2 linked regions of the Macaca mulatta genome follow. The protein of the gene in region 1 interacts with the protein of each later gene in a biochemical or structural test. Links are inferred from orthologs where the notes say so. Each region holds a gene or a part of one and is shown on either strand. Other genes may lie near its edges.

The links.
Region 2: the proteins of KDR (region 1) and SHC2 form a complex in vitro, tested with the Homo sapiens proteins (2 studies listed by BioGRID). The link is inferred for Macaca mulatta from reciprocal best matches to the Homo sapiens genes KDR and SHC2.

What each region holds. Positions count from the first base shown.
Region 1 is NC_133410.1:78,388,861-78,392,941, forward strand, and holds part of KDR (vascular endothelial growth factor receptor 2), read left to right. Parts: intron 1-1,690; coding exon 1,691-1,805; intron 1,806-1,892; coding exon 1,893-2,056; intron 2,057-4,081. UniProt on the Homo sapiens protein: Tyrosine-protein kinase that acts as a cell-surface receptor for VEGFA, VEGFC and VEGFD. Plays an essential role in the regulation of angiogenesis, vascular development, vascular permeability, and embryonic hematopoiesis.
Region 2 is NC_133424.1:1,068,322-1,072,402, forward strand, and holds part of SHC2 (SHC-transforming protein 2), read right to left. Parts: coding exon 4,016-4,081; intron 838-4,015; coding exon 709-837; 3' UTR 704-708; intron 1-703. UniProt on the Homo sapiens protein: Signaling adapter that couples activated growth factor receptors to signaling pathway in neurons. Involved in the signal transduction pathways of neurotrophin-activated Trk receptors in cortical neurons.

The DNA of each region.
Region 1 (4,081 bases):
CTACATAAACAGTCAATTAACACATATTTCATATGTTATATGTATTATATACCGTATTCTTATAATAAAGCTAGAGAAAAGAAAATGTTATTAAGAAGATCATAAGGAAGAGAAAATATATTTACTGCTCATTAAGTGTAAGTGGATCATCATAAAGGTCTCCATCCTTGTCTTCACATTGAGAAGGCTGAGGAAAAGTGGGAAGAGAAGGCAGTGGTTTTGCTGTCTCAGGGGTGACAGAGGTGGAAGAAAATCTGCTTATAAGTGGACTCATGTAGTTCAAATTTATGTTGTTTAAGGGTCAACTGTAATTGAACTGGAATTAAATTGAACTGGCTTTGAGTAAATCACCTTAATTTTTTGTTAATTCTCTTTCATTTACATAAATGTCTGAGTTTACATGGTAATTTGTGTGGCATCCTACTTATAAGCCTTGGAAAGGATTTTGGATTTTATATCATGAGAATGCATCAGTAAAGTGGAATTGTAAAAATACCTTAGATAATACTATTTATTAGAGTTGTAATCATAAAAGTGGCAACAACTACAACAAGTATGATTTAGTGAGCCCTTACTTTATTAGCTCATCTCATCTTAGTAGTTGAGATTGGAACTCAAGTTCCTGACTACAAAGCTATGCTCTTGACCTCTAGGTCATGTGGCCTCCCTAGCAAGAACTTGAAAGTTTCTTCTGAATGAACAAAATAGAAATCACTAAGTGTCCTAAATTTATTCAAATTATTTCACTTGCCAAGATGCACTTGCCAAAATACACAGAGAGAGACGTGCTCTGGCTTATGTTTTGATAGAAGTACTCTTGTTCTCCAGGATACTTCAGGGAAATAGGGGCAGAAACAAGGAGGTTAGTTGGGAGGCTAATTACGTTTATCCAGGTGAGAGTTGAGGAGTGGCTTGGACAAGGGTAGTTGAGGTAGAGATAGTGAGAAGTGATCTGCTTCTGGATATATTTCAAAGGTAGAGTCAACAGGGTCTGCTGATCAATTCACTGGTTGTGGAGTATAAGGGAAAAAGAGTGGAAGATGACCCAAGTGTTAGCATGAGCAACTGAGTAAATGGTGGTGGTATTTACTGAGATGGCAAAGATCGAGGAGGCAGTGAAATTTAGGGAAACAGTGTTAGATATGTTTCTCTGGAGATGCCTATGAAACATCCAAGTGGAAATGTTTAATATATCAACCTGGAACCCAGAGGAGTCAGGGCAGAAGGCACATATTTAGGAGGTATGTGAATGCTACTTTAAACTTGAGGCTAGAGGAAGGTGTAAATAAAGAGGACGTCTGAAGACTGAGTCCTCGGGCCTATTAACACATGGTGGAAGAGGTGTGTGGAGTGTGTCTTGGGAGCAGAGGAGAAGGAGCACCCAAGCATCTCTGGGGGACTTAGAGAAAGCTGCACAGAGGAGCAAGTGTTTGAGTTGAGACTTGAGCAATCACTAGGCTTATGGGAGTGCACTAGTGGGGAGAGAAAAGCAAATGCAAGCACAGGAGGTGTGGGAGAAACACGGGAGGTGTGGGAGAAGCTGAAATGTGACCCACTAAAAGGTAGTACATGGAATCTTGGAACTGCAGCTACTCAGACCCTCAATGTTTTTGATGTTTCACTTGAAATGAAAAACTAAACCAAACGACCATTTACAATAAGCTGACCTTTAAAAAAAAATTTCTTGCAGAAAAACCTTTTGTTGCTTTTGGAAGTGGCATGGAATCTCTGGTGGAAGCCACGGTGGGGGAGCGTGTCAGAATCCCTGTGAAGTACCTTGGTTACCCGCCCCCAGAAATAAAATGGTAACTACTAGAAATAAACACAAAGCATCATTTCATGTGAGAGCAAATCCTTCGACTGTACTAATTCCTGAGAATTCTTTTTCATAGGTATAAAAATGGAATACCCCTTGAGTCCAATCACACAGTTAAAGTGGGGCACGTACTGACGATCATGGAAGTGAGCGAAAGAGACACAGGAAATTACACTGTCATCCTTACCAATCCCATTTCAAAGGAGAAGCAGAGTCACGTGGTCTCTCTGGTTGTGTATGGTGAGTCCATTCAGTTTTCCTCTCTGCCCAAGATTTATTATGATACATTGTCTTCCTAATCAGCCAGGCCACCATTCCTCTGCCTCCAGCTGCTTCACTCACATCATGGCCGGGCCTATGTACAAAAGTCATCTGGGGTGGTGAAGCTGAAGTGAAATGTAGGACTGTGTGCTCTGGCCATGTTTGTTTAAGAGGCCATGTAAATGAGCTTTGTGGTGGTCAAATGCAAGATTAAAGTAGTGATACCCTCGATAGTTTAAATGTTGTGAAAAAATAATGCCCACAGGGATAGTTGTCAAGTTAAGTTATACTACAATGTTCCCCTCTCATGGAATTGCCCACCTGGCACACAGATGTGTAAGACCCTTCTCCTTAGATTTTGTGCAAAGCTTCTAGTTTGATATTATAGTTGATGTATCAGTGAGGTACAGGCAGATTCCTACTCTGAAGGCTTTTGAAGTTGGCATTGTTGGCTTGGTTGGGGGCTTTTTTTTTCCTTTTTGACAGGAGTTCAGGGTCTGATTTTGAGTCTGTAAAGGCAAAATAGTACGTTTTTGATTTAAAGATGATTTGAACTTTGTTTTCTGAAACTGAAAGGTACAAATAAGTGTTTGGAATGGAATGGTGAGAAGGGTGCCATGGTCAAGTGAGTGTGAGGTGCTAAGGTGATGTGTAGATGTGTAACAGGTTTCTTTATTACAGGGACTTCTCAGAACCTTTTATATACTAATGTATATTGGTATTCTCTAGGGGGAGAGACATAGAGTATTCAAGGTTTAACAAACCTATTTGACTGGAGCATCGTTTTTCCCCTGAGCAAATTCATTAATCTCTCACTCCAAACAGTTTGAGAAATGCTTCTCTGTTGTAATTCTTTGTTCCCCCTTCTGGTATGGCATATTAAAACTTCAGGATATTTTCCCATGGCATTAAGGTGCTTCCCTATGTGTCCTAATACTCTTCTGTAGGCTGCTGAACTTGGCGTTATTTTTTTTTTCAGGGAATATTTTAAAGATAGGTTGGGCATGGTGGTTCGCATTCGTAATCCCAGCACTTTGGGAGGCCGAGGCGGATGGATCACCTGAGGTCAGAAGTTTGAGATCAGCCTGGCCAACGTGATGAAATCCCGTCTCTACTAAAAATGCAAAAATTAGCCAGGCATGATGGTGGGCGCCTGTAATCCCAGCTACTTGGGAGGCTGAGGCAGGAGAATCACTTGAACCCAGGAGGTGGAGGTTGCAGTGAGCTGAGATTGTACTCCAGCCTGGGCGACAAGAGCAAAACTCCGTCTCAAAAAAAAAAAAAAAACAAGATAACAGGTTCCACAGAGGTTGTTCAGAAGCAGCATAGGTGTAGGGGACTGGGGAGAGGAGAAACTGGAAAGTGTATAAGTAGGATGGGAGGAGAAAATGAACGGGAAATAAAAACAAAACATGGACAGCAAATAGCCCATTTCATCAGTTCATGAAGCCACTAAATATTCTATTCACTTTAGCATATACTCTGCTATGTGAAATAAACATAAAAAAGAAGTCAAGTCTTGAAAGCATAACCTGAGGCTTTAAGTTGACAGTAGTAACGAAATAGTTTTGACTTTGGAGTCAAAAAAGAAAGAAAGGAAAAAGGGAGAGAAGAAAGAAGGAAGTGAGAGAAGGGAGAAGGAAGAAAGGGGAAGAGGGAAAGGGAGTGGAGAGGGAGGGAGGGAGGAAGAGGGAGAGGGAATGAAAGACTCAGATGGTGGTGGCAGTAATGCATTCTCTAAAGATTTATGCCTTCCTTTAACATGAGGTGGTTTACGTGTTTGGGTTCAGAAGTCAGAGTGTCTAGGTTTGTTCCAGGTTTTGCCGTTTGTTAACGGAGTGACCTTGGGCAAGTCATTTTTTTCTGTATTTCATTTTTTCTCGTGTATAAAGCTGAGGATAGTAATAGTGGTTGTGAGGATTAAGTGAATGAATTCATGCAAAGCACTTCAAACAATGCTTGGCACATAATAAATGTATTTACTGTGCTATTTCAGCTATTTTC
Region 2 (4,081 bases), on another chromosome or scaffold:
CTCACTGCCTGGGTTCACACACCAGCCCCTGCCTGTCCCAGCCCACCGTCCTCTCCGGGAAGGAGGCCTGGACACCCAGCACGCAGCAGGGGTCCATAAAGACCAGGTGACATCCATCCCAGCCAATCACAGCTGCACAGTTACCATCATGGCTGCACAGGGCCACTCTGGGGCACGTGCCCACCACGGCCAGTGACGCGTGTCCACATACAACCTGTACACAAAGGCTCACGGTGGCCAAAACGTCCATCAGCGGATGAACAAACACAATGTGGCCCCGTCACACAGTGGGACATTACCCAGCCGTGAACAGGAGCCAAGCTCTGACCCAGGCCACAGCACCAGGCACCTTGAGGACGTCACGCTCCGTGAGAGACGCCAGACCCAGAAGGCCACACCGTGTGATCCCATTTCTAGAAAATGTCCGGGACAGGCCCATCCACGGAGACAGGAGGCGGATGTATGGGGGTTGGGGCTGGGGAGGGGACAGGGAGCGATGGCTGGTGGGGACAGGGCACCTTTCGGGGCTGATAGAATGTTCTGGAACTCGACAGAGATGGTTGCACAGCTTGGATGCTGAACACCCCTGAGTCGTGCCCTCTAGAGGGAAAGGCACGGCATGTGAACCGGGTCTCAAATTTCAAATTAGAAAAGAATCGGGTAAAGGGGACGAGGCCGGCGGCCCACGGCGGCAGCCACACACCTGGCTCAGGGCTCCCGGGAGACGACGCCGCGCAGGTGCAGCTCGCTCTCGGCGGCCACGATGGGCTGCCCGTTCTGCAGGTGGTGGTCGATCAGGTGGCTGATGCTCTCAAACAGCACGTCCTTCGTCCGCACCTGCAGGACAGACCTCGGTATCAGCTCCCGGGAGCCGGCCTGGACCCGTGGAGTCAGAGATCGGCGATCTGGGGTCCTGTCGGGGAGCCCCTAGGGTGCCTGCGTGGATGAGTGTCCGGACCAGGGAATTCTGGGACGCCAGCCACAGGATCGGCCTCAGAATCCCAGAACCACACGTGGGCACGGGCTCTGAAACCGCCGGGTTCTGGGGCCACGCGTCCTGTTGGGGGCTGAAGGGTGACCCCATGAGAGATTGGAGCCGTGTGTCCGCAAACCCGGCAGCACCCGGGAGGCGGCCACCAGCGGGCGCCGGGAGGGGCCTGGGACCGAGCAGCACCCAGGAGGTGACGTGTCCCCGGCTGCTCTGAGATCATGGGTGACGTGTCCCCGGCTGCTCTGAGTTCGTGGGTGAGGCTGGGGGCCCTGTGCACATTTCACGTGGGGAACAGGGGCAAATGCACATTCCTAGGCCTGCGGCAAAATTATCTCCTTCCATGGCACTGGGAATAGGAGCTGGGAATCTGCCTTTCGACAAGGTACTGGTAGACGTTCTGAAGCTTCCCCAGGTCTAGGGGCTGCCAGTCTGACCCCAGGGATCCATTTAACAGAGGGAATCTGGCCTGGGAAAGAGCAGAGGCATCACCCACCAGGCTAGAGGCTAGGCGGCGGCGGGGGGACCGGAAACAGTCTGAGGGGGCTCGGGAACTGGGAGAATAGGCGCCTCTCGCCCAAGCTCTGCCCCTCTCCAGCTTTGTCCCAGGCTGGGGTGCACAAGTGCCACCCCTGCCCCCCACAGTGTGCTTCACGCGGAGACCAGGCTCGCACCAGCCCAAGAGCCACTCTGAGGGTTCGGCCGGACGGCTGAAAATGCCTCCTGCAGTCTGAGAGGCCTCCGAACCCTCCAGCACCTCCTCACCTAAGAAATAACCTGTGTAGCCCTCAGACGCTCAAAATGCTTCATAAACCCTAGAACTCCTTGTAAATCGGAAAATGCTTTGTAAACCCTAAAACGCTTTAGAAGCTGGAGATTACTAAATCCCACTGGCCCAGAGCAACTGTAAGATGCACCACGATTTCAGGTACCAGGAGCAGACAGAGGAGAAAAACCTCGCTGTTAAATAATGATGCAGTTCAAGTATGCAATCGATGGTTTTAAAACAAAATCCAGCCGGGCGCGGTGGCTCACGCCTGTAATCCCAGCACTTTGGGAGGCCGAGGCGGGTGGATCACAAGGTCAGGAGATCGAGACCACGGTGAAACCCCGTCTCTACTAAAAATACAAAAAATTAGCCGGGCGCGGTGGCGGGCGCCTGTAGTCCCAGCTACTCAGGAGGCTGAGGCAGGAGAATGGCGTGAACCCAGGAGGCAGAGCTTGCAGTGAGCTGAGATCGCGCCACTGCACTCCAGCCTGGGCAACAGAGCGAGACTCCGTCTCAAAAAAAAAAAAAAAAAAAAAAAACAAAATCCAGACTCCAGAGACGTCAAAACTGGGGCGGGGAGAGTGTCTCTCAGCATTGAAGCAATTAGGCCAGGCGCGGTGGCTCATGCCTGTAATCCCAGCACTTTGGGAGGCCGAGGCGGGCGGATCACGAGGTCAGGAGTTCGAGACCAGCCTGGCCAACGTCGTGAAACCCCGTCTCTACTAAAAAAATACGAAAAATTAGCCAGGTGTGGTGGTGGGAGCCTTTAATCCCGGCTACTCAGGAGGCTGAGGCGGGAGAATCGCTTGAACCCTGGAGGCGGAGGTTGCAATGAGCTGAGATTGTGCCACTACACTCCAGCCAGGGCAACAGTGTGAGACTCCATCAAAAAAAAAAAAAGAGAGAGAAAGAAAGGGAGGGAAGAATTGAAGTAATTCAGTAACTTGATCCCAAAATTCCTTGTAAATTGAGAAGTGCTTTGTACACCCTCAAATAAATTAGAACCTGAAAATACCATATTTATCCCTCAAATACATCACCATTTGTAAGGTGCGTACGTCATGATATATGGGGGGGGCATCTTATGATGGATGAAATCGTACGATTGGGATTACGATTGGGAAAACAAGTCAGGAGGATCACGTGAGGCCAGTAGCTCGGGACCAGCCTGGGCAACACAGCAAGGCCCCATCTCTACACAGACTTAGCTGGGGACGGTGGCTCCCACCTGTAGTCCCGGCTACTCAGGAGGCTGAGCCAGGGGGACCGCCTGAGCCCAGGAGTTCGAGGCTGCAGAGAGCCATGATCCTGCCACTACACACAAGCCTGGGTGACAGAGCCAGACTCTGTCTCAAAAATACACTGGAAGATACTTTGCAATTCTATGGTAGCTGGTCAAACACAACATCTGCAACAATCTGGAAAAGCTTCATAAACACGGATGGCCCCTGGATGCCCCCGGGCCCGAGACCCTCCCACCTGGGCCCAGCTAAGCCCCTGGATGCCCCCAGACCCTCCCACCTGGGCCCAGCTAAGCCCCTGGATGCCCTCAGACCCTCCCACCTGGGCCCAGCTAAGCCCCTGGATGCCCCCAGACCCTCCCACCTGTGCCCAGCTTGCCACCCCCTCGGCCCCAAGACCCTCCCACCTGTGCCCAGCTTACCACACCCTCAGGCCCGAGACCCTCCCACCTGGGCCCAGCTAAGCCCCCGGATGCCCCCAGACCCTCCCACCTGTGCCCAGCTTGCCACCCCCTCGGCCCCCAGACCCTCCCACCTGTGCCCAGCTTACCACACCCTCAGGCCCGAGACCCTCCCACCTGGGCCCAGCTAAGCCCCCGGATGCCCCCAGACCCTCCCACCTGGGCCCAGCTTACCACGCCCTCGGGCCCGAGACCCTCCCACCTGGGCCCAGCTAAGCCCCCGGATGCCCCGAGACCCTCCCACCTGGGCCCAGCTTACCACACCCTCGGCCCCCAGACCCTCCCACCTGGGCCCAGCTAAGCCCCTGGATGCCTCCAGACCCTCCCACCTGGGCCCAGCTAAGCCCCTGGATGCCTCCAGACCCTCCCACCTGGGCCCAGCTAAGCCCCTGGATGCCCCCAGACCCTCCCACCTGTGCCCAGCTTACCACGCCCTCGGGCCCGAGACCCTCCCACCTGGGCCCAGCTAAGCCCCGGGATGCCCCCAGACCCTCCCACCTGGGCCCAGCTTACCACGCCCTTGGCCCCGAGACCCTCCCACCCGTGCCCAGCTTACCACGCCCTCGGGGTCCACCAGCAGCAGGTGCTTGGGCTGCCCGGCGTGCATGCCGGTGAGGACGTA